3 linked regions of the Drosophila melanogaster genome follow. The protein of the gene in region 3 purifies or fractionates together with the protein of the main gene of each other region. This does not show direct contact. Each region holds a gene or a part of one and is shown on either strand. Other genes may lie near its edges.

The links. Proteins that work in one complex are often made in the same cells at the same time.
Region 1: the proteins of atl (region 3) and ND-20L purify together in Drosophila melanogaster (affinity purification with mass spectrometry, with the first as the bait; one large-scale study listed by BioGRID). This does not show direct contact.
Region 2: the proteins of atl (region 3) and ND-13B purify together in Drosophila melanogaster (affinity purification with mass spectrometry, with the first as the bait; one large-scale study listed by BioGRID). This does not show direct contact.

Annotation. Positions count from the first base shown.
Region 1 is NT_033777.3:29,511,818-29,518,612, reverse strand, and holds ND-20L (NADH dehydrogenase (ubiquinone) 20 kDa subunit-like), read right to left. Parts: upstream 2,897-6,795; 5' UTR 2,828-2,896; intron 2,801-2,827; exon of another isoform or gene 2,770-2,800; 5' UTR 2,769-2,769; coding exon 2,130-2,768; 3' UTR 2,086-2,129; downstream 1-2,085.
Region 2 is NT_037436.4:10,691,099-10,697,863, forward strand, and holds ND-13B (NADH dehydrogenase (ubiquinone) 13 kDa B subunit), read right to left. Parts: upstream 3,011-6,765; 5' UTR 2,920-3,010; coding exon 2,899-2,919; intron 2,770-2,898; coding exon 2,608-2,769; intron 2,409-2,607; coding exon 2,217-2,408; 3' UTR 2,086-2,216; downstream 1-2,085. Other genes in the region: CG11811 (uncharacterized protein), read left to right, coding at 78-779; CG33493 (uncharacterized protein), read right to left, coding at 1,717-2,025; NijA (ninjurin A), read right to left, coding at 3,437-3,628, 3,926-4,317, 4,531-4,606, 5,469-5,546.
Region 3 is NT_033777.3:24,623,485-24,632,021, forward strand, and holds the start of atl (atlastin), read left to right. Parts: upstream 1-2,186; 5' UTR 2,187-2,328; intron 2,329-3,581; exon of another isoform or gene 3,582-3,891; coding exon of another isoform or gene 3,892-5,178; intron 5,179-5,231; coding exon of another isoform or gene 5,232-5,588; intron 5,589-5,650; coding exon of another isoform or gene 5,651-6,382; exon of another isoform or gene 6,383-6,591; intron 6,592-6,806; exon of another isoform or gene 6,807-7,266; intron 7,267-8,298; 5' UTR 8,299-8,412; coding exon 8,413-8,537. Other genes in the region: Syx18 (syntaxin 18), read right to left, coding at 483-671, 991-1,989; wsck, read right to left, coding at 3,892-5,178, 5,232-5,588, 5,651-6,382. UniProt on the Drosophila melanogaster protein: Membrane-anchored GTPase that mediates the GTP-dependent fusion of endoplasmic reticulum (ER) membranes, maintaining the continuous ER network. It facilitates the formation of three-way junctions where ER tubules intersect.

The DNA of each region.
Region 1 (6,795 bases), 4.9 Mb from region 3:
CCCTAGCGCAAGATTTCGGATCTGTAGTCAATGCACTGGCGATAAATTTCAATCAAATCCGATCGAAAACAAGGCACAAAACATCGCCCCACTCAGAAGAAGAAGATCTTTGGCATTTGTTCGTTGCATAATTAGGAAACGTCTAAATTTCGAAGAACACTAAATTAGATTTACGAGACCCGATCAAAGCAGCCAAACGCACGGAACGCAATTAAAATCAGCTTAATAACTCTGCCCAAAAGAAAGGAGATCAGATCAGATTCAGGTCTGGTCTCGAATTCCCAAGGTGTGATAATAATTTTATGAAAGAGCCCAACGAGGCAACAAATCAATTCCGCATAATGCCAATAAAAAAGATTTGAAGAAGGCATTTACATTCATGAACATAAATCTCCGCCAGCTCACAATGCTCAAATAAAATGGGAAAGAACCGAAGAAGACGCATCCAACAATTTCATTATGAGGCATGAATGAATGAGTGCCACACTGGGGCACTGAACGATTGAATGAATGAATGAATGAATGAACACTAGATGCTGCTTTCTGAATCGCTATTGTTGCACCCATTTTGGCGGCGAGTCAGTCTCCTTATTTTTTTTTGTTTTTGAACACTTTTTGGAGGACCTCACAATCGGATGGCGAGCATAACGGGCGATTAGGTGTTAAACACACACAATTCGTTGGGCATTTCTGCCCGATCTGCCTCTGACGTAATTTATTGCCCGTGGAACATTGGCCGAACCCACTCATTTTGCCCAGCAAAGGGGCTGCAATCGCTGGCGAGCTGTGGATATGCAGGTAGCACCCACCACGGTGGTCGTGGCCCCGTCTCCAGATTACCAGCTTTTCACTCAAGTGCAAATCCTGAGCATGCGTCGCTGGACACTCCACTGGAAATCCCAGCGAAAAGTCGCTGCAAGTGCACTGAAAAAAATCGAAAAAAAAAATCTGAAACTAATGTAGATATACGCAGCAACTTAAATCAATGAGTTTCTCTTGAATATTCTTACTGATTAACTGAGCTCACTTTCCAAGCAAGTTGTTAACAACATTTTGCCTGTGCACTTGCGAAGCTTTTTCGTTGGCGCCTCGGCGCCGCAATTAAGCAGAAATCGGTAAAATAAAACAGAGCAAAATTAAGGTTAATGTGGGCCGGGGTCTGCTAATTAAGATATGCTCGCCTGGCTGCGAACGGTCCACTGATTTCGATTCTGCAGCAACCCAGGAGCCCCTGGAGCCCCTGGATTCTCCCAGCACCTTTCGACAAGTCATTGAGCTGTTAAATTTATTTAATGCCTGCACAATGGAGGCGAACAAGTTGCCAGTGGCTTTGTTATTAATTTTTATTGCTGTGCGATTGAGACAAGTTAATTTCCCCACGCAGTCATTCTTATTCGCAGGAATTGTGCGAGTCACGAGAGGATTCCCAGGATCCCCGAAGATCAGCGGGCTGCCTGCTGCGCCTTTGTCCAGATTTTCAGAGTGTGCAGGTCCTTTTCTCGCCGCTCGTTGAATGAGAGGAGATACTCATTCATTCAAGTCCTTCACTCTCGAGAGTTTCCATTCAAGCCGAGGATCTGCCAGTTTTGTGGGTGTGTCGCACATGGATTACACTAATGCGATAGTTGTCCCACAATTTAATGCACTCACCGCACTCGAACGGGGATTTAATGATGTTCCCACCAAGTTCAAGTGCTCGGTGTCGCCAGATTCGCAAAAAGGATTTTCGGGCTGGCTCGAAAAAATGTGAAACAACGAAATCCTTTCATATGCCTCAAGAACCCTTCATATTTCATCGCCACTTGAGAGACAGTGCCGTCAGAAGTGTTTATTGTCTCCGCGCATTGTCTGCAGGACTCGCTTCAAGAGGTCCTTTGCGGGACATGAAACCGATCCTTGCAGGTGAGCACGAGCCCTATTCCGCTGACTAAGCGACTTTCTGAGCCAGGAATCTTGTGTAGTTGCTGGAACTGATGCGCTTAACTCTTTGACTTCGTTTTGGGTAAGGCAGAGATCGGATTAGGTTAGGATCGATTTAAGCCCAACTCTACTTATCGGTTGCACCACCCCAAAAACACTTTACTTAACAAGGTATCATTTATTTACTGAACTCCTTACAAGAATATTCTCTACTTCCTGTACCACATCTGCAGGGTCCTCATGCGCTTTACCTTCTTCTGCAGCTGCAGGATTCCGTACATTAAGGCCTCGGCGGTGGGCGGACATCCGGGCACGTAGATGTCCACCGGAACAATGCGATCGCAGCCGCGAACCACCGAGTAGGAGTAGTGGTAGTAGCCGCCACCATTGGCGCAACTGCCCATGGAAATGACCCATCTCGGCTCGGGCATCTGGTCGTAGATCTTCCGAAAGGCCGGTGCCATCTTGTTGGTCAGGGTTCCGGCCACGATGAGCACGTCCGCCTGGCGAGGAGATGCTCGGAACACCACACCGTAGCGATCCATGTCGTAGCGAGGAGCCGCAATGTGCATCATTTCGACGGCGCAGCAGGCGAGACCAAAGGTCAGCGGCCAGAGGGATCCCTTGCGTCCCCAGTTTAGCAGGTCATCCAACCTGGCACAGGTCCACTCGCCCCAGGTCTTCTGGTTGCGTCCGAAGGCCGAGTAGCCCCACTTTGGCGGATTTTGGCAACGGTAATCGTACACCGGCATGGTCTTCTGGCCACGAAGCCACTGGGATTGCAGCACTCCACTGCCAGGCAGCAGCAGCTGGCCAGGATTCCTGGCCAATTTCAGGAAACTTATCATCCTGAAGATACTTAATTTATTTTGCGATGTAGCAATGCATGGAAAATGTGAAAACTTACTTTGAACTTTTAGATATTGCTAGCTATATTGAAGGTTTGACAACTTTTTCTGAGGCTGAGCTATGTAACATTTTTAACACTTTGGCTTCTACAATGTATATAAGCTCTTGTAAATCCCATTTGGATTCCCCTGACGCCACCGATTGGCGTCAAAATCAATCCGAAATCCCAGGCACTCAACGCTGGGCGGACAGCGAACAGGAATCCATGAAGCTCATAAATACGCATGAGCATGGAGCTCCCATTCATGCGCCATGGATGCTTGAGTACAGATCGCTTAGGAGGAAATTATTAGCTGATTGCTGCAGCGCCATCACCATCCACATCCCCGCTGCACGGGTGCACTAATGGGACTCGAGGACCTGGGGACATGCAACTCGAGAGATGGGAATGGGAATGGGCCCTGGAAACTGGGAGCAGATGCATCCGCGGAGAACTTACGCAATCGATGCGCTGGCTCATTACGGAATCGACACCGCGGAGCTGCACTTGCAAAAAAAAGATCTTTTGGCAAAGGAATACATTCTACATTAAATGAAAGAAATTGTAAGTAAATCATATTAAAAAAAAACTGTGCACTTTAAAGGGTAGATTCTAAAGCAAAGTCTGTAAAATGAAGCTGACCAGTTTTAAACTGTATCTTGTAGTAACTTTTCATAAACTGTTCAATATAGTTACATTTTTTCCGAAATGTATCTTATAGTTTTTAGAGCAAATGAGCAGTGAACTTCTACAGTTTTGTGGCTGCTGCAAATGTATCTCCTAGTGTGAGATTGAAGTCGTGGCGCTGGCGCAGCTGGCAGTCAATAGTCGGTGGAAAAATGGCAACTGGCTGTGTGTCTCTGTGGTTTTTAATTAACGCTTTTGCACAATGCTTGTCTAATTACGCCTATGGTGCCTCAGACACGACAACCAAACGGCAGCGACTACTAAATCATCCATATTGTCAAGCGGCAGCTGCGGCTTCTGCTGCGAATCCTGCAGGATGGGCAATAGAAAAAGTAAATGAAATAAAACGAAATGAAATGAAAATAAATACGCGGGACATGGACGACGACGATCATCGCATGGCAATTAGGCATTGGCTGCATTTGATGCATCATTAATTGAATTAAATTTGCATTTAAATGCGCACCTATGAATGGAGCAGGCAGGCCAGTATGCTGCCATTTTCCCAGCCAGAAAAGCAGAAGGCCAGAAGCTCAGACGCCCAGAAGACCATAAGCTATCCAGCCAGCTCGTCTCCGTCGACAATAAACCGCTGATGAAGTCATATGAGCCTGGCCCGAACGCATTGGCCAAATGCAGCGAACGCTGCTGCGTACCCGGCGAAAATGCCAATTTAAAATGGCTAAAATAAATTGGTTTCGTTCGGCTTTGTTCGCTCCTCCGTTGGCTGGCCAACGCAAAATAGACTATCATCAATTTAAAATCAATATGTCACATAAATTGGAAGGGAAATCAACGCCAAAAGCCGCCAACGATATTGGCCAAGGAAAATGTACAAAAAAAAAATAAGGGGGAAAGATGCGAAATAAATAAGTAAGGTGGAAAGGAAAATAAAGTTGGGAAACTCAGAATACTCTATAGCTTTCAATGTGGATAGATAAATGTAATAAATATATAAATTGACCTCGTACTTGATTAGTATAGAGTATAAATTGATTTATGGCATGATATGATATGATTGTAATACTTATATATAAATGGTAGTTCAGAGTTGGCTTTGGCATATCCTACTCCTTGAAAGGGTATGATCCAGGTGGACAAAGGATGCACTGGCAACTGGAGAGTCCACTGCGATTACTTTGCTATAATTCGTCGTCATCGCTGCTGCAACTGCAACAGCAACTGCAATTGTTGCTGCCCGGTGACATCGTCGCTGGGGTTTTATTGGCCACTTTTGGCCACATCAGCGACAACGATGAGACAGCCGAGTGCGCTTCCTGTCTCATGGCTCATAGCACATAGCCATGGCATATATCCCAACCAGCACATATATATATATGTATTTATATACACGCTGTATGCCGGACAACTTGCCATTATTATGCGCATGTTGCATTGCATTGTTGTTGCCGGATTTGTCAGCGATCCTCAAAGTGATAAAAATTGCTCGTAAATCCTTAACGAGTGGAACTAACACGCGCTGGCTGGCTGGCTGGCTTACTAGCTCGAACTGGAGAGCCTTACTAAGTCAGGAGCAACTCCCCCGCATCCACATCCGCATCCGCACACCACATTTGTCTTTTTAGCGAGCTCCTAAAACAACAACATGCCAAGCGGAACAATGGCGATCCGCAGACCGAAATGGACGCGCTCATCTCTTGATCTGCATTGTTAGCGGCCAGCAGGAGCAACTTGGCCAGTACACTGAGAGAAATATAAGCAGAGGCTTTGCAGTTGCACACCAAGAATCGTAGCCAGCTGGAGCTACAAATAATAGATAGGCATTCCTTTATTTTTGCCAGTGCAGTGCAGCATCTGCAGCATTCCATTTCCATTGGAAGCTCTTTGCATTCAAGAGAGTGCTCACACCAATCCACTGCTTTTGGCCAGTTTATGCATCACCAGGCACCAAATTGACTCCATTAAATTCCAATTGTGCCAATGTTTTTTTTTGAAAAATGGGGTTGGGGAATCCGAAAAACATATCCCAAGTGTTTGCTGATGCTTTAGCTGCAACAATGTTGTGCAACAAGAAGTAGAAACATTCTCCCCGTGTATTCAGCCATTTTAATTTCTTTATTACGGCATTTCCTTGTTATCAACTTGCTGTAGCCAGCGATAAGCCGCAATTAAGCCTTTATGTCCGGCCGATTAACGCTAATTTAAGAGCCCCACACAAGAAGCCAACGCAAAGCTACCACAGGTTTTAACGCTAACAAATCAGATCGAGACCATATGGCTTAACCAGCCAACCAATTAAAGATGCAAAAGACAAAGAGCCCGGTCTCAGCTGACAATAAAGCCAACAAATTTTCGTATTTAACGATCGCCAAATTAACATACATTTACACATCCCATCCACGTGAAGCGGGACAAACGAGTTTCCAACTCCCCGAGTCCGAGTGGCCGACCACCCAAATGAGGAATGTGGGGGGGGTGCAGTGGTGGTGATGATGCTGGCTTGGGGAAAAACTCCAAAATAGTAGCTAACAGTTCTGGGAAAATTAAGTAAGTAAGATATTTCAGCCAAAAATACTCACCATTCACATTAAAGATACATACATCTGAGAAGATGCTTCGAAGTACTTTAAAAAGCGCTGAAAACAATATATAATGAATGATTAATATATTCGTGTGATATACACAACACTTCATGAAGGTTAAATGGGTTTTGTGGTTATTATGCCATTTAGCTAGAAAGCAACTGAAATGCCATCGCTGGCAAGGAAGGAGATTGGAGCATCTGAAGGGAGGGGGAGGGCCATTAGCTCCTCTCGGCCATCACAAGTAGGTGTTGACAGTTCGGTATTATAATAACTACTTTAAAGCGGAGCTCCATAATTAATTGCCGGCAATTAATGGCAAATGTTATCTAATCGCCTGACAAACGCCGCGGCATCAAGTCAACGGGAACAAAAGCTTCATCCGTCGTCGACTTTTCGCTCGAGTTCAGATGAGTTCGACCATAGCAGCACCGCCCCTTTGTTTTTGGCGACTTGGGGGCGTGGCAAGCGTCTGCTGTTTCTGCTTAATTTGCGAATAATTCGATCACAGCTACAGTGGTTGCTGCCTAAGTGGGAAAGCAGTGAAATAAGAAGTGGGAAACTATTTACCATTAGTGGTTATCCAAAACATGTTTACTTGTGGTTTTGTTTGATTCATTATTATTGGCATAATGCAAATGTTTGTTAGTAATATATCAACTCCTTTTACTTTCACCTAATGGGAATGTGGACTGCATTTCTCTACACAACTCCTAACAAAAAATGGGATCGAAGTCGGCTTCTTTGAAGCGCTTG
Region 2 (6,765 bases), on a different chromosome or scaffold from region 3:
GCAAAAAGAACTAAACCAGCTTTTTTGGCCCCCATTTGTGTTGTTGGTGCTGTTCTGTGCGAATAAAAGGCCACGCGATGATAAGCTTTCTGTTCATTGTAAATCGGGCGCTCAGCAGCAGCAGCAGCAGTAGCAGTGCAGCGGCATCCTTAACGAGCAAGAAGATGACCGCCCCCGGGCCACGCCCCCTTGTCCTATGCGGTCCCTCGGGATCCGGAAAGAGTACGCTGCTGAAAAGGCTATTCGCCGAATTCCCCAGCACCTTTGGCTTCAGCATATCGCACACCACGCGGAAGCCGCGTGAGGGCGAGGAGCATGGCGTGCACTACTATTTTGTGGAACGTCCGGAAATGGAGGCAGCCATCGCTGGCGACGAGTTCATCGAGACGGCCGAGTTTACGGGCAATCTTTATGGAACGAGCAAGGCGGCGGTTAGAGAGATCCAGGCACAGGGACGGGTCTGCATACTGGACATCGAACAGAAGGGAGTGGAGCAGATCAAGCGTACGGATCTCAATCCCATACTGATATTCAACAATCCACCGAGCATCAAGGAGCTGGAGCGACGACTTCGCAAACGTGGCTCCGAAACGGAGGAGTCGCTGAGCAAGCGCCTCAATGCCGCTCAGGTGGAGCTCGATTATGGTTTGACGCCCGGCAACTTCCACAAGATCATCAATAACGTGGACATCGATGTGGCCTACGAGGAATTCCGCAACTTTGTCGTCCAGGAACTCAAGGAGCAGCAGAAGCAGGGAGTATCAGTTAACTTGAATTAAGGCGAAGCATTTTGCGGACGAATGTAGAATGATATTAACCTCAATGGGGTGGGGGTAGAAATTGTTTGTGAACTGATCGACGACAGGAAAAGTAAATTATAGAAAACTTATCATTGGAAACGGCAGGAAGCTATAGGAAAACCAGGTACTCTTTATGCATATTGTAAAGAATTTAGCTTATAAGAGAAACTTAAAAACTTTCCGAAGATACAGAATATCAAACTTCATATTTTAACTAATAGTTTTCTTAAATAAAATAGAAATAATACTCTCCATTCAATAATCGCATATATAAGAGCAATATCAAGATTTTAGTTTTATGTAGAAGCAGACTATTTTTGAATTCTAGGACAAACTTTGCTTATATTGTGAAAAATACTTTGTCAGCAGCAGAATATTGTTAGTAAACAATTGCTTAGCCAGCGAACTTGACCCAATGTTTCCAATGAAAGTAGACCATAGATTACTTTTCGTGACCCCGATGCCTGGAGCCCCCACCCTGCAAACCACTTTGACTAATGGCATTTATACTTAAGAAATGGCTTGTATTTATTATATACTCTCCTCCTGTCCACCTCATCATTGTTGTGCAAATTCGTTGTTCTAGTTGTAATTTTAAGCTGAAATTTGTTGCGCGCCGCTTCACGGTCGAGAAAACCGGAGAGGGCGATTAAAATGGAATCAATAAAGCGAACATTATGCGGGTATATTGTATTTTCACAAACGTTCTATATATATTTCCAACAAAGCCAAGCCCGAGAAGGTCAAAATGTTATCTATCGTCAGTGGGATTGTTTATACAGTGGCCGTCTGTCTCCTCACGCAATCGCTCGATTTTGTCCCCGGCCGCCCGCCTGCTGATGTCTGGAATTCTCACGGCTCTATTTGTCGAATGTAATACGCACGCCCACGCGAAAGTCCTGCTCCGAACCTTGGATTACGAGGGATACGCATTGGTCTTATAGTCATGGTGTAGATGCAGTTTGGCCTGGTATCTGGTGCTGCCCGTACCCGATTGTGTTCCATGTGTTCGATGCACCAGGCTGGCAGAGCCATCGATCTTCGTCCGACTGTCCGCACTGCTCCATAGCCCGGCGATGGCCTCCAGAGCCAGTTCCGTCTCCTCATCGTTGTCGTCGTGCTCCGCCGAAACCGTGAGATCGATCTGACGACGCTGGCGAGGCACCGATGCCGCCAAGCCGATGGAGATGACGAGCAGTAGCAGAAGGTACTGAAGCGCACGCATGTTGAAAACGAACTGAGATCGTCAGTGGATCGATTGCTTGAATGTGGCTGATCTTGTGGTGCTGTTCCAGGTTTATTCATTTGATTAAAGCTCAATTATTTTTTAGCTGATAAAGCCACTGGCTTATCAACGGATTTATTGCTCTCTTCTCATTTCGATTTGCTGTAGATTAATTAGTACTAAGTGTGAATCTAAACCTTGGGCTCCATGATCTGGGCTGGTGGCCAGTCCCACTGCTTGGCAGGCGCGGCTTGGACCAACTTCTCCCAGGGCTTCCAGCCGAGCATTTTGCGCGCAAGGATCAGCTCGTTCTCGGCCTGGACAATTAGCTCCTCCACTTGACCGCAACCGACGGCCTTTTCCAGGGCAGTGATGTCCTTGTGCTGCGGGTGAGAAAGTTAGAGATTGTATTAAAAAAAAGGAAATTGGAGGATGATCAAGAAAATAACAGTCTTTAATACAAATAACAAGTGTAAGGATCTGTATCTTGGTTGCACGGTCTATATAGGTGCTACATATGCTTTGATGAAGGTACCATCCACTTGGTAAACCCAAATTAGCAAAGTTTCCAAATAATCTTACTTGGGCCACAGAATCGGCGCGCTGCTTGACCAGTTGCTCCGTGTACTTGCGGTAGCTGGCGTCCTGTGGCATCTTGGACACCGCCCGCAGAATCTTGCCATACAGAGCACTCAGCGTGTGGTGTGGATTGGTGGACACGGCGAGTCCAGTCAAACCTGTGGACTGCAGAAGGAAGCGATGACATAACAATAACAATTGAAGAAACGCCGCGAAACTCAAGCGGGGATTAGTCGGTCATTTCTCTTTTGTAGGTTCTCGAGCAGGTGCTTCACTTGAGTTCCTTGAACTTACCGCCTTAATGATCTTGGCCATGTTTGCAATAGACTTTTAGCCGAAAATGCTTAATTTTCCGCACGACTTTATTTTGTAACAGCTGTTGCCCAGTGCTGTGAAGTGTCGAGGCTATAACACAGTGCTGTGAAATGCCACTACGTAAACTATCGCAACTAAACGATAGTTTGGCGCCAAAAATTGATTTAAATAGTATAAATAGAATTGCATTTGAGTTATTAGAATTTAATATTAATAACAAAGAATATCCAAAGAACAACTGGTTTATAAGTATTTAATATTAATGTGAACGTATCTTATAACATTTAAGAAAGTTTATTCATTTCTTACTTAAAACGCCCAAAAGTAAGAAAAACAGCATTTCAGTTATTTAAATAAGCGAGAAATGCTCGTGGGATTTTATTTATCACAATTCATTGTTGCGTTTAGAAAAATGAGTCGCTGAGTGAAATTTAACAAGGTTTGAACAATGTGAGTATTATCTAAAGATGCATCTGTGTGTTCATAATACTAAAGTCTATTTAAAATACAAGTTAAACTATGTTGTATTGGCGGGTAAAGCAGGCACAGTATCTCTGTCCACAGTAAAGGCTGATATTAGAACATTGACCACAGTGACTATAAAAATGCCGCTAACTGTATAATTATTGATCCTGTTCGCCCGGCAGATATCGTGACCGTTTTTGATGTTATACTGGCCATTCAATATAAGGCCCACGCCCACAGCAATCTGAAATGACAAAGAAATTATGAGTGTGTGTCATCAAAAATATGGTTATTAAGCAAAACAGTGAAATCTGGTTAAGATAAACTACTTTGTTTTTATACTACAATAAATGGGCTAAAACCTTTGATTACTTTGTATATATTTGTTTTTAATGAATTTTCTTATCATCTTAAGAATATTCTGATAGTTTAGAAATGTAAGTTATACATGTGTGGAATTTACTTATCAAATCTTGCGTTCATTGGATATTTAAGCTTGATTTTACAAATATATGCATTATTTGCACCTATAGAAATTTACCTGGAATATAATGCTGAGTGAGATGAACAGCAGACTGGGATAAAAGTAAGGATGTTGTGAGCTCGTCTCCAGAACATAACGCAATTGATTTGCATTCGCGGAGAGAAGTGCCAGGTCCATCATTCCCTGAGCCAGGGTCTTCTTGTGCTGATATGCATTCACATCGGGTATGGGTGTCTCCACGCCGTTGATCGTCACAAAACCGGGTCCATTGTATCCCGGAAAGGAGAAACTGGGTCGTCTTCCTCCATTGGGAACGTTTACATTCACATTGCCGCCGTTGCCTCCGTTGCCTCCAACAGTTGAAAAAAGACCGTCATCCACGCCGGGATTATCATTGCCATCTTTAACAAAGGGACGATCGTCGTTGTCATCATCATCGGTTTCGGGAACTACAAATGAAGCAAATTATTAAGTCACTTAAAATCGATTACCACCAGCTTAAGCTACTTACACCATCAATTGTGATTTACCCAAATAGTTTAAAGAGCGCGGTTTTAAGCAGCATTAGTCACAAGCACAATTAAAAAACATAGACAAGCACAGAAAAATGTTCTAACTTTTTGTTTCTTTTTGAAGATAAACGAATAAGTTGGCATACGAACCTGCTCTGGGCACTCGAAGAGTATTACGTGTCCGTCCGTCGATTGCACCGCCATAGCTGTGTTTGCTGATATTTTCCTGTAAAATTTCAATAAAATCATTTCCGGAATATTAACAACTTTGCTTGCAAATCCATTGTTGTCTCAAAATGCAAATTCATTTAGCCAAACGGCGCACAGCTTCTGTTCTGTGCAAGTTTTGATTAATGCAATTATATGCTAAGTAGTTTTTATCTGTAGGATTATGTACTTGCAATATGTTTTACAACTGTTCAGTAACTTCGAACACAAAAAAAACGATAAGCTTCAGGGACACAAATGCTTTGAAAATTGCGACAAACGTGATTTTTTTCATAAATAAAATAGTATTTCAAACGATAAGAAAGTAGTAATATTAAGTAACTGGGCTAAATTCTATGATCATGCTCTATTTGCAAGAAAATGTTGCAATTGAAAAATATTTTTTAAGTCTGCCAGTTGCTATGAGTCACAGAAATAGATTTTCCCTGCAGCAAAACGACAGATTTATGAGATTTCTCTTTTATTTAGCTAAAAAATTAGACAAATGATACATACAGCAAACATTAAGCTACTCTAGCTATGATTGTTTGCTTAAAAACTTAGTAAAAATACTCATAGTTCAGCAATTTAATATGAATTTTTAAAATCGTATATCTTAAAAAATGCAGAACTATGAATTTATTTCTAAAATTAAGTGACGGGTTTTTTCCGCCTGAGCTATTAATTTTCACGAAAAATTGTATGAAATTCTCCGCAGTTTACACAAAAATTAACAAGCAGTGCGAAACTATATACATATATAAGTTTTTTGTACAGGTAAATAGACATTTTAACGATCTATCCGTAAAGTAAATAAATCACCGGTTTTTTTAAATTTGTTTACCTTCCCCCAGTTTAATGATAATGAAACTTTAACTCACTGTATTTCTCACCAAAGTTTTATTATCTCCTAGTGGCACTTTATCCATTTCCAGCGTAATATGCTCTAGGTTACTCATTTTACGATTGAATTAATTAATTAATTAATTGCAATTAATATGTCTTTGGGCAATTACAAATGAGCAATTCAATGCCAAGATTCCTTAAGAATTTCTTTGTATCTCTTTATCTAGACCTTCTCGGGCAAATCACTCTGTTGCTTATTTATTATTTTGTTTTTTTTTTGGCTTTTGTTTAAAAACTCGTGCGCAATTTGCGACCGCTCGGCACGCTATTTCTCGGACAACTGACCAGAGAAACCATTGATATTGCGAATATTCTCTCGGCTCCACTTGTTTGGCCGGTTGTTTCTCCAAACAAATCAGCCATTGGGGATTTCACGTTCTCATTCTACAGAGTTACAACAAGTTTTTTGTTGATGTAATATGAAGATATACTGGGAACACAATGGGAGTTGATATATGTACACAGAAAAGATGCAGAATGTTTTTTAATTTGATATGGTTTATACATTCAAATAACAAAAATTGGGTTTTATTATTTAAAAGTTTATAATTTTAGTAAATGGTAAAGTGGTGTATACAGTTTTGCTAAAAATCGATATAAATATTTGATTAATATTTATTTAAATTTTAATCATATTAAAATTATCAAATAAAACATAAATTATAAGAAGATATACCATATATATAATAAAAAATATTTATAAATTTGTAGTATTTTTCGAACTGTATGAACAAGGTGTTTGAAGCTTAAGCCTCTCCATCTCTTTTTCTCCTTCAGCTTTCTCTCTCTCTCTCTGTCTAATGTAATATGCCCCTCTCTTTCTGCTAGTGAATTATTTCCGCAGTCTAGCACGCTAAGTTCCTCGTTCGCATTAAAATGCATTCGGCTCAGAATTAATGCGTATACGTCATTGCACTCAGCGCGATAACCCAGAGCACTAATATATGTTTATAGTATATAGTATATACATACATAGACTAGATGGGCTGCTCTTTTTTTTTTTGCTACCGTTTTGAAAAACGCGAGTTCTTGGAAAATGCCCAAATGTGCTAGCAGACAAATGTCACGGGGAATATTTACGTTTCCCTCGATTCAAATTAGTCATCAAGTGAGAGAAGGCATATCAATGAGGACTTTCACAACTGAAGAACAATCGCAATCAAGTTTTTTTTTTGGCCTTATCAAGCATAAGAAAAAAATTGAGAATAAGAAAACCGGTTGAGGAGAGATGGCTACCATATACACATATGTACATATTTACATACATTTCAA
Region 3 (8,537 bases):
GACCTAAGCTAGTTAGAATCTAGACATTCATGTAATGAAACCAACTGAAAGAAATACGCAAAGGTTAACTTTAGGCCTTAGACATATATATACATATACATACTTATTGCTGATTTCCGTTCCCAGTTAGATATATATATATATTTTTTTGAAGAGCGTTTAATGAAAATAATATGACTAAGGACCTAGATATAAACAATGTACCAAGCAACACACTAAAACACATTTTGGTGTAGAATTTAAATTAACTACTGAGACATGTGTGAGCAAGGCGCTCAAATCGATTTTAGTTCCATATTGTTGTACGAGGTTTCATTGAATTGAAACAAGGCAGTTGAATAGCCTAAACAAATATTTTCCTTTTATTTATAAATTATGTAATAAACAAAATATGCTTTTAGTGCGATCAAACGATAACAAAACATTTTTGCATTTATCATTCCCTAAATTGGGTGGGTTACACATAAATTTGGGGACTTCACTTAATCGTAGTACCAGTCCAAGAAGAGCAGGGAGAACGACATGACCAGCAGGAAGAACAGCGACCACACGCGTAGTCCTGCATTTCGTTGAGTGGCCTGCCGGATTTGCTCGTTGGCGTCCTTGACGTTTTCCGTGGTGCCCACGACGGCACTAACTATCCTGTCGATATTGTGCTGTTGCATGGCGACCTACAAAAGGGAAAGGGAAATTTAAGAGGATTAAATGAGATTAGGACGTGGATCTATCTGGATCTAGTTAATAATTAATTGCATGCTAATAAGAGCCCGGCTTATACATCCATTGTAATCGCGAAGGATGTGGATTTTAGCGAAGCCAATTAATATTTTTAATTGAAGGATTAAGTCGACAAACATATGGGCAGCCACTTAAACCCACTAAGTATTCTTGGCAATATGGAGCAATATGTTCTCACCAAAATTAAACTAAAGATATCGTTGTTAAGAACAGCAAGGATTCCTTGGGACTTGTGTTATCATGCCATCTTACCTTTTCGGTGAAAATGTCCTGCAGTTGGGCAATGTCTACCACGTTCTTTTCGATCTGCTCCACCTCCTCGGAGACGCCCTGCAGAAAGTTGTAGATGTGTACGTTCTCCGCCTCGAAGAGCTGCACATCCTCGGCGCTTAGGGGATCGTCATCGTCGGCCTCCTGCTGCTGCTGGAGCTCCTCATCCAGAGCCATCTTGGAGGATGAGTTGTTCAGATCCGATCTGTTGGCTTTGCTTCGTTTGCGCGTACGCGGTTTGTGTTGATTGGCCTGATTGGCTTCCTTGCCCTTCTCGCCATCGTGATCGTCCACCTCGTCGCCTTCCTCGTCTTCATCCCAGTCGCCCCAGGCGTCGTTATTCCAGTCATTGTCGGCGGACTCGTCGTGGTTGCCATTTGCTTGTGAAGATGACTTCGTGGCTTCGCTGTCATCGTTGCTGACCTGGCGCCTGCCCAGCTTGCCACTGTTGCTGCCCGCCGGACGCACTGGTATCTTCTTTTTGTCCGCCGCCAGCTTGAGCAGCCTATAGGTTTCCAGTTCGTGTTGCACACGGTACTTCTTTTGGTCCAGATAGATCTGTTCCACGCTGTGCAAATAGCTGACCAGCAGGTCCAGCACGGCGTCGATGTGCTGACGCTCCTGCGGCTTCCGCTTGGCGCTCTTCCAATCGCTGCGCATCTTGGCCAGGTGCTGCGTGTAAAAGGTGACGAACTTCTCCGACTCGCGATCAATCAGATCCCGCTGCGCGTCGGTCATGTGTGCGGCGGACTTGAGGTGCTGGCCAATGCGCATGTAGGCGGTGCGGTTCTCGATCAGCACATTGCGCAGCGAAGTGATCTTGTTGCACACCTCCTTGGCCTGCTTGGCGAAGTCATCCTTTGGGCCAATTGGTCCAGTTTTTGTCGGCACTGTGGCGGGCTTGGCCTTTCCGGCCAGCTCGGCCTTGCGCTGCAGGCGCACCGTCATTACGCTGGCCTTGAAGCTCTGGGTGATGTCCATAGCTATTTGCTATAACTAAGTTTGAAATATTTAACTTTTAAATCCACATCATCGGTCCAACACAATGTGGCCGTTCGTTTAACCGTTTGCAGTGTGACCTTATGATGACCGTTAATATATACCAGTTAGCTAATACTAAAAATAGCTAAATGTTATCGATAAGCATTTCAGTGTTGGCTAATGAATTTTCACCCCCACACTTATAGGTGATTTTTCGCCCAACGGTGTACGGTCACACCATTGGCAGAGCACAAACAAAATACGTACTTTTCTGCTTCCAAAGTGTCGAAAAATCGCAGCGCAGTGAAGTCCAGTGTCCGATGTAAATGGTTAAGTAAAGTGAGTAACAAAGGCCGACACAGAAGCCGCATTATTTGCGCAGTTAGCCGACCATTTGGTAGTGTGCGTGAGTGGCTCCGTCGCAGTGCGTTGGTGTGCGTGTGTGAGCAACCAGTTTCCTTGGATTCCTCATAATCTCCATGTGTGTATATGTAACAAAAACAATAACAATTTAACCAGGCGAATGCAAAACACTCGCAAAGTTGGCCAATACCGGATGAACCTCATCATCATCATCATCTTCCACATATTCATGAGCATGGTCGGCAGTCGAAGCCCCTGAATTCCGATAGCAGCCATTCAGCTCGATTTATTAATAATAATTGCCCATTTGCTCGGAATGTATACACATTTCAGTGACTTCAATTGTTCGTCGTCATTTCACCTTGAATTGCGGGCAAGGTAAGCGTCCAAAAGTCGCTATGGATATCGTTGCGCTTCATTTACCGTATTTACCATATACTCTATAAGAAAGTCGCTCTAAATTCCGGGTGAGCCATGTGCTTTGGGTTTTTTGGTGGATCCAATAGTTACACGTCGACAAGAGAAACAATGGCTTATCTTCTTTGGGAAGGATCCCGAGATAAGCTTGTACATAGTGAGAAATTTTAAGTACTGATAACGAATTTTGAACATTTCATTTGAAAAGTGCATATCGGAAGAATATACACAGATTTAGATTTTTTTTTTTTTTTTGCTATGTAGCTTCATTATAAGATGATTGTCCAAACCAATGGAATATACATACATAAAGTGCCCTACTATTTCGGATGACTAATAATGCATGTAACCGCATCTAGGCTGCTGCCAACAATTTCCCTAATTAATTCTTAAACAACATAACAAACAATAGATGCAATGCAAGACCTTTAAACTGATTAATCGTCAATTTTGATCCACTCACACTTAAGCAACACCGCCGTTTATTTTCTATTATTAATTGCTGCTCGCCAGCGATCAAAGTTTCGCATTCGCGGCTCTCTCCCTTGGTTTTTTTTTTGCTTTTAGTTTTCGCTTTTGTCTGGTTTGTGCAACATCAGCGATCGGCGGGGGAATCACAGTCGCTGGTCTGTTGGTAGATCCATTCGCTATGGATCCCTCAATTTATTACACAATTTTGGGGGCCAGACTGTCAGTAGTCTTTTATCTATCGCGCTCTCCATCGAGCACGTTCGCTTGAACTTTGTTTCGCGTGGGGGAAAGTCGATTCCTTTCTTTCGGGTTGTAGATAAGCAATTAACTACCTTATAGATCTGATAAGCTCTGGCATAGAACACTCTTTTATTTGTAGGAAGTTTGTGCGTATTAACAATAAACATCGAATTGTGTTTCATAAATGCTCACTTCTAATATTATATGGATAATAACAATTTATGAGCTTTATTAAATCAATGTGTAAATTCTAAAACAAATTATTTTCTCTTCAGAACACTGAAAGTGAACTCATCTAAAATCGAAATGAAGTGATGTTTTCTCTTAGCAGCAGTGACTCAGAACCGAAATCTACTCTATGCGAATGTGGTCTCTCGCTGACTAAAGCTAATTATACTATTCGGCTGCACCTCAGCCCATCGTAGCAACGGCTTCCAGTTGCGGCAGGTACGGAGGCAGGGTGTCTAGTCCGCCGGCCACTCGATCAAAGCTGAGGGCATGACGCGGTGAGGTCATCAGCTGACGTACTCCGAAGGCCACGTCCTCACAGCTGCTCCGCTCGCTCGGCTCCAGCTGCCAGCAGTTGAGCAGCAGCTGGTAGAGATCCCCGTAGACGTAGGCTGGCTGCGCCGGACGCACTGCAGCCCGAATGGCCTCTAGAAGCTGTTGGTTACTTGCCACTGCATTGGCATAGGGAGTACCGCCAAGGGCACAGCATTCCCACGCCACGCAGGCCAGGGACCAGACATCAGAACGGGTGGAATGGTGATGCTGATGGCGCAGCACCTCCGGGGCCAGCCACCGGTTGTGGTCTGGCTGCTGGCGAGCAATGTTCATGTAGGGCAGCGGTCCAAAGACGCTCAGTTTTAGCTTGAAATCGCTGGTAACGAAGACGCTGTGCGAGCAGAGCTGTCGATGCACCACCTGGCAGCTGGATAGATAATTCATGGCACTGGCAAGCTCGTAGATCCACTGCAGCACTAGCTGCTCAGAGAGGGAAGTCAAGCGTGGCGACGGTGCCATCAGGCGACTCTCCACCAGTTTTCTCTTTAGACTCATGCGTTGCTGCTCGAAGATTAGGTAGAACCAATCGGGACTTGCTGATACTCCATAGAAATCTAGCAAATGCTCCTGGCGCTTCAATTGAGACAACTGACGTAGTTCTCTCAGCAACTGTGCCTGTGTAGTACCATTCAGATCGTCCAGACAGAGCACGTGCAGGGTGCAATCTCTGGCAAAATCGTTTGTGGAAACCTTTCCGGTTATAATCTCACCAAAGCGTCCGTCTCCGATCACATCGTTCACATTTAGTCGTAGTGCATTCCTTGGTATCCGTTCGTATCCTTCCACCAACTGTTGCAACTGCTGCTTGAAGTTTTCCGGCGAGTGTGGCAGTGGATCGTCCTCCACAAGGTATCCGTTATTTTCCCGCTCGATTATGGGCGTTTGCAGCGTCATCTCGTGCGTATTGCCACCAGTCAATCGTCGCCCGCGGCAGGTCTTGTAGCGCAGATAGAAGTAGGCAATAAGACTGAGCAGGAGGCAGGAGCCGAAGATCACACAGGTGACAGCTAGGGCAACCACCGAGGATTGACCCTTCTCAAAGGTGGCGTAACTAAAGTCGTCTAGGGATGTCACATGCTGGTCGTGAGTTCCACGACTGTACATCGTCTTGGTAACGCCCTCCAGTGTGCTCACCTAGAATATAAATAGTTACAGAGATATTCATTCGAATTTAATGCATTACTCACCAATCCGAGACTGATGTGGACATGTGCATCTGGTTGATCCAACGGCTTATTGGTAAATCGTCCGTAACGCTTGCCATCGCCGACCACAAAGCGCCGGGTGCGATTGTCCTCCGGTCGATCGTAGTCCAATTCGGCGGCTATGTAGTAGGGCACTCCATCTTGTTGAGCCTGCTGCCAGCTGCCCAGGAGCTGGGCATCGAATGGCTGACTCAGGGCGTTGTCCACGTATTCCACGATGACGAGCAGTTTGCTCAGCGGTCCATTGTCATTCCGAATGGGCGACAACTCGATGGTTACAGTGCGGTCAGTCCGGCTGAGGATTTTCGGCTGTGCTGGCACGGGACTTGGAAGGCCCACCTGAAATTTGGAGTAGTAATGTTATTGGTTAGGATTCTCGTTAGAATTCAAGCATTACCAACCTCCGTGGTGGCTTCTATCGAGGCCTGTCCGCATTCAGATTGACCTACTTGGGCATCCTTGCACATGGCTCTCACGGATATGTTGTACAGCGTGGCGGGATGCAAGTCTGTGAGTTCAAACTGCGTTTCCGTGCTCTGCACCATAAACTCAGGCTGCGGGAAGGCGGGCAACGAGGAGTAGGTCTTCAGGACCTGAGCTTTGATCAGGAAGTTGTCCAGTAGCTGGTTGGGAAGCACTGCCTCCGCGCCGCCGGCCAGGAGTAGTTTCCTCGCCTCGTACGCATTCCAGCTAAGGGTCAGGCTGTTCTCCGTTTTGTTCGAGATTCTTAGATGATGCGGACCCGGTTGTTTGGTCAGTATGGTGGAGTAGTACGAGTGCACACCAACTCCGCCACAATACTGCGCTTTGTTGGCCAGGCAGCGAGTGTTGCAGAGCTGTTCATCCTGTTGCTCCTGCGGCTCCAGGACATTTGCACAGAAGCACTTCTCGGAGGCCAGCACGGCATAGTGGTGACCCTGATGCTCGCAGATCTCGATGCAGGTCTGCGGTGTCTTGGCGTACACCGATTCATGGAGAAGATCCGTTCGTGCCGTGTAGCAACCAACGTAGTAGTAGGCAGGTGCTTCCTGGGGGACAGCTGCTCCTAGCGGAAGGCCCAAGCACATGGCCACGAGGCAGCTCGAAAGCCAAATCGGAATTGGGCGGTGTCCGCTGTGTGAACCGCATTCCATGGCTTGCAAATCTCGAATGAGCAGCTAAGCTCCTGCACGCCGGATGACTGATATCCGCCTGGGCTTTCTGTTGCTTCTTTGGGGGCTAGGACTGCCAATTAAACACTTTTCACGGGCAGCCAATTTAGGCAAATTAAAAACTTTTATTCTTTTTCCCCGCTCAACATTTTCCAAGCGCTTCTGCTGCTGCTTCTTCTTCCACTGCCGTTGTTGTTGCTCTCGGCAACCGTGTTTCCATTTCCAGTTGACTAATCGCTCTGCCGACGTCGACGCAGGCCGCACAACTGTTGCTGTTACTCTCCAACACCTTTGTTTACATCGCCCGCTAGTTGCAAAAGCTGCAAGTGTAAGTGGGACAACTGGTGTGTTGCGAAGATCGTCCGTATCTGGCGGCACCGCTCACACACCTGCTGGACAAGCCTGGTTCCAAACGGCATTGCCAGATGTGATTGTTATTTTGAATTTTAAATTCCCATTCAGCGCGCCAAAGTCTCGGACAACAGTTGGTCTTAATTAAGTGGCAATGTGTTAATTGGACAGACGCGATTTTGCTAACGTTGCAGCTGCCGCCGGACCAATTGCATTACCCACCTCCCTTCCACCACGGTGTCTATTCCTATTTTGCCATGTGGCGACGGCAAATGAGAGTTGATCGGAAAAGAGAGAGTACCGCTTCGCTCTCTTTTTGAGGTAGCCGATTCATTGGTGACTTGCGTGTTGTGCTTGCAGTTTGATTTGGTTGACGGTCGCGCTGGTCGTGTATTTATATTCATATTCCCATTCCGCATCCGAATCGGACTCAATTAGACGCAAGCATAACTTTTATGTGGCCTGTATAATCGGGAGTGTGGCATAATTCCCCACCGATCTCTTGTCTTAATGTGGTATGTTCTTCACTTGTTTTGGCTGCGTTTCTAATTAGAATTCAAGTGGTCAAACTGCGTAGCGCGACAAAAGTTGTCGACGTCATCACAACGCAGCTAACGAAATTAATTTTAATGTGTTCCCTTCCTACGGCTTACATACGAACAGTCAACTGTGCTGAATTCGTTTAACCCGATTTGGAAACCCTTTGAGTACACATTCGCCATTTGGTGTGATAAAACCCAAAAGGAACAAATGAATAAGTGATCGTGTTGCAAAAAAACAACACATCAATCAAGAACTTTAATAAGGTCAATAAAATCACCGAAAGACCGGTTTCCGATGAATTTCTTTCCAAGTTATTTTGAGTATCTGAAATAATTGAATATGTTTTCTCCATATGGGCTGTAAAATACACCGTGAAATCTGTTTTAATGTTGAAAGTTTAGTCAGTAGTAGTAGTAATAAACCGGTTTTCTTATCATTTAGTAGCCGTAGTTTCTAAAGTGACAATCAAAACCATATGCCTTTAAATTGTATACTTGTGTCTTCAGCCGAATCTGTTTAGTTTGTTCCTAAAAACAGTTGATTTTATAAGCAACAACTATAGTTTGAAAACCAGATTGCCATATGCTAATTGAATGGTAAGGTTGTATCTAAACATTGATTACTGATTGATTACACATCTACCAAGTACCATTCCTCGGATAGATTGGTACATACATACATATGTACATATATCCCACGCACCTGAACAATCCGCTTACATAGTGCCCCACTGCCCCTTCGGTTGACGTTGACATCTTCTGCGATCGGGGAGCAGCGCATGTTTGGGTTTATTTTTGGCCACCTCTCATAATTGCAGGCCTTTCTGTCCGTCGCTCGTGTCTCGTGGCTGTGCCAAATTTAAATGAACTCACGGCGCAGAGGCTTGCGCAATTAAATGTTGGCCTAGACTCGCAAATTTTCCCTTTGCCGGAAATGGAAAAATCGCTGAAAAACAGAGCAGACATTTTCTCCATACTTATCTAGCTGTCTGTTTATGCTTGCAGTTGACAGGTCGAAATCCAAAAGATTAATAAGAAAGAATTTCCCAACGGAGGCAAAAATAGCCGGTAAAACAGAGACAGCAAACGGAATAGCAGACAAGGATTCCAAACACCATAATGGGCGGATCGGCAGTGCAGGTGATCAACGCCTCCGAGGAGCACACATTTGTGCTCAACGAGGATGCGCTGAGTGAGGTCCTAATGCGGGATGAGGTCAAGGATCGGTTCGTCTGCGTTGTCTC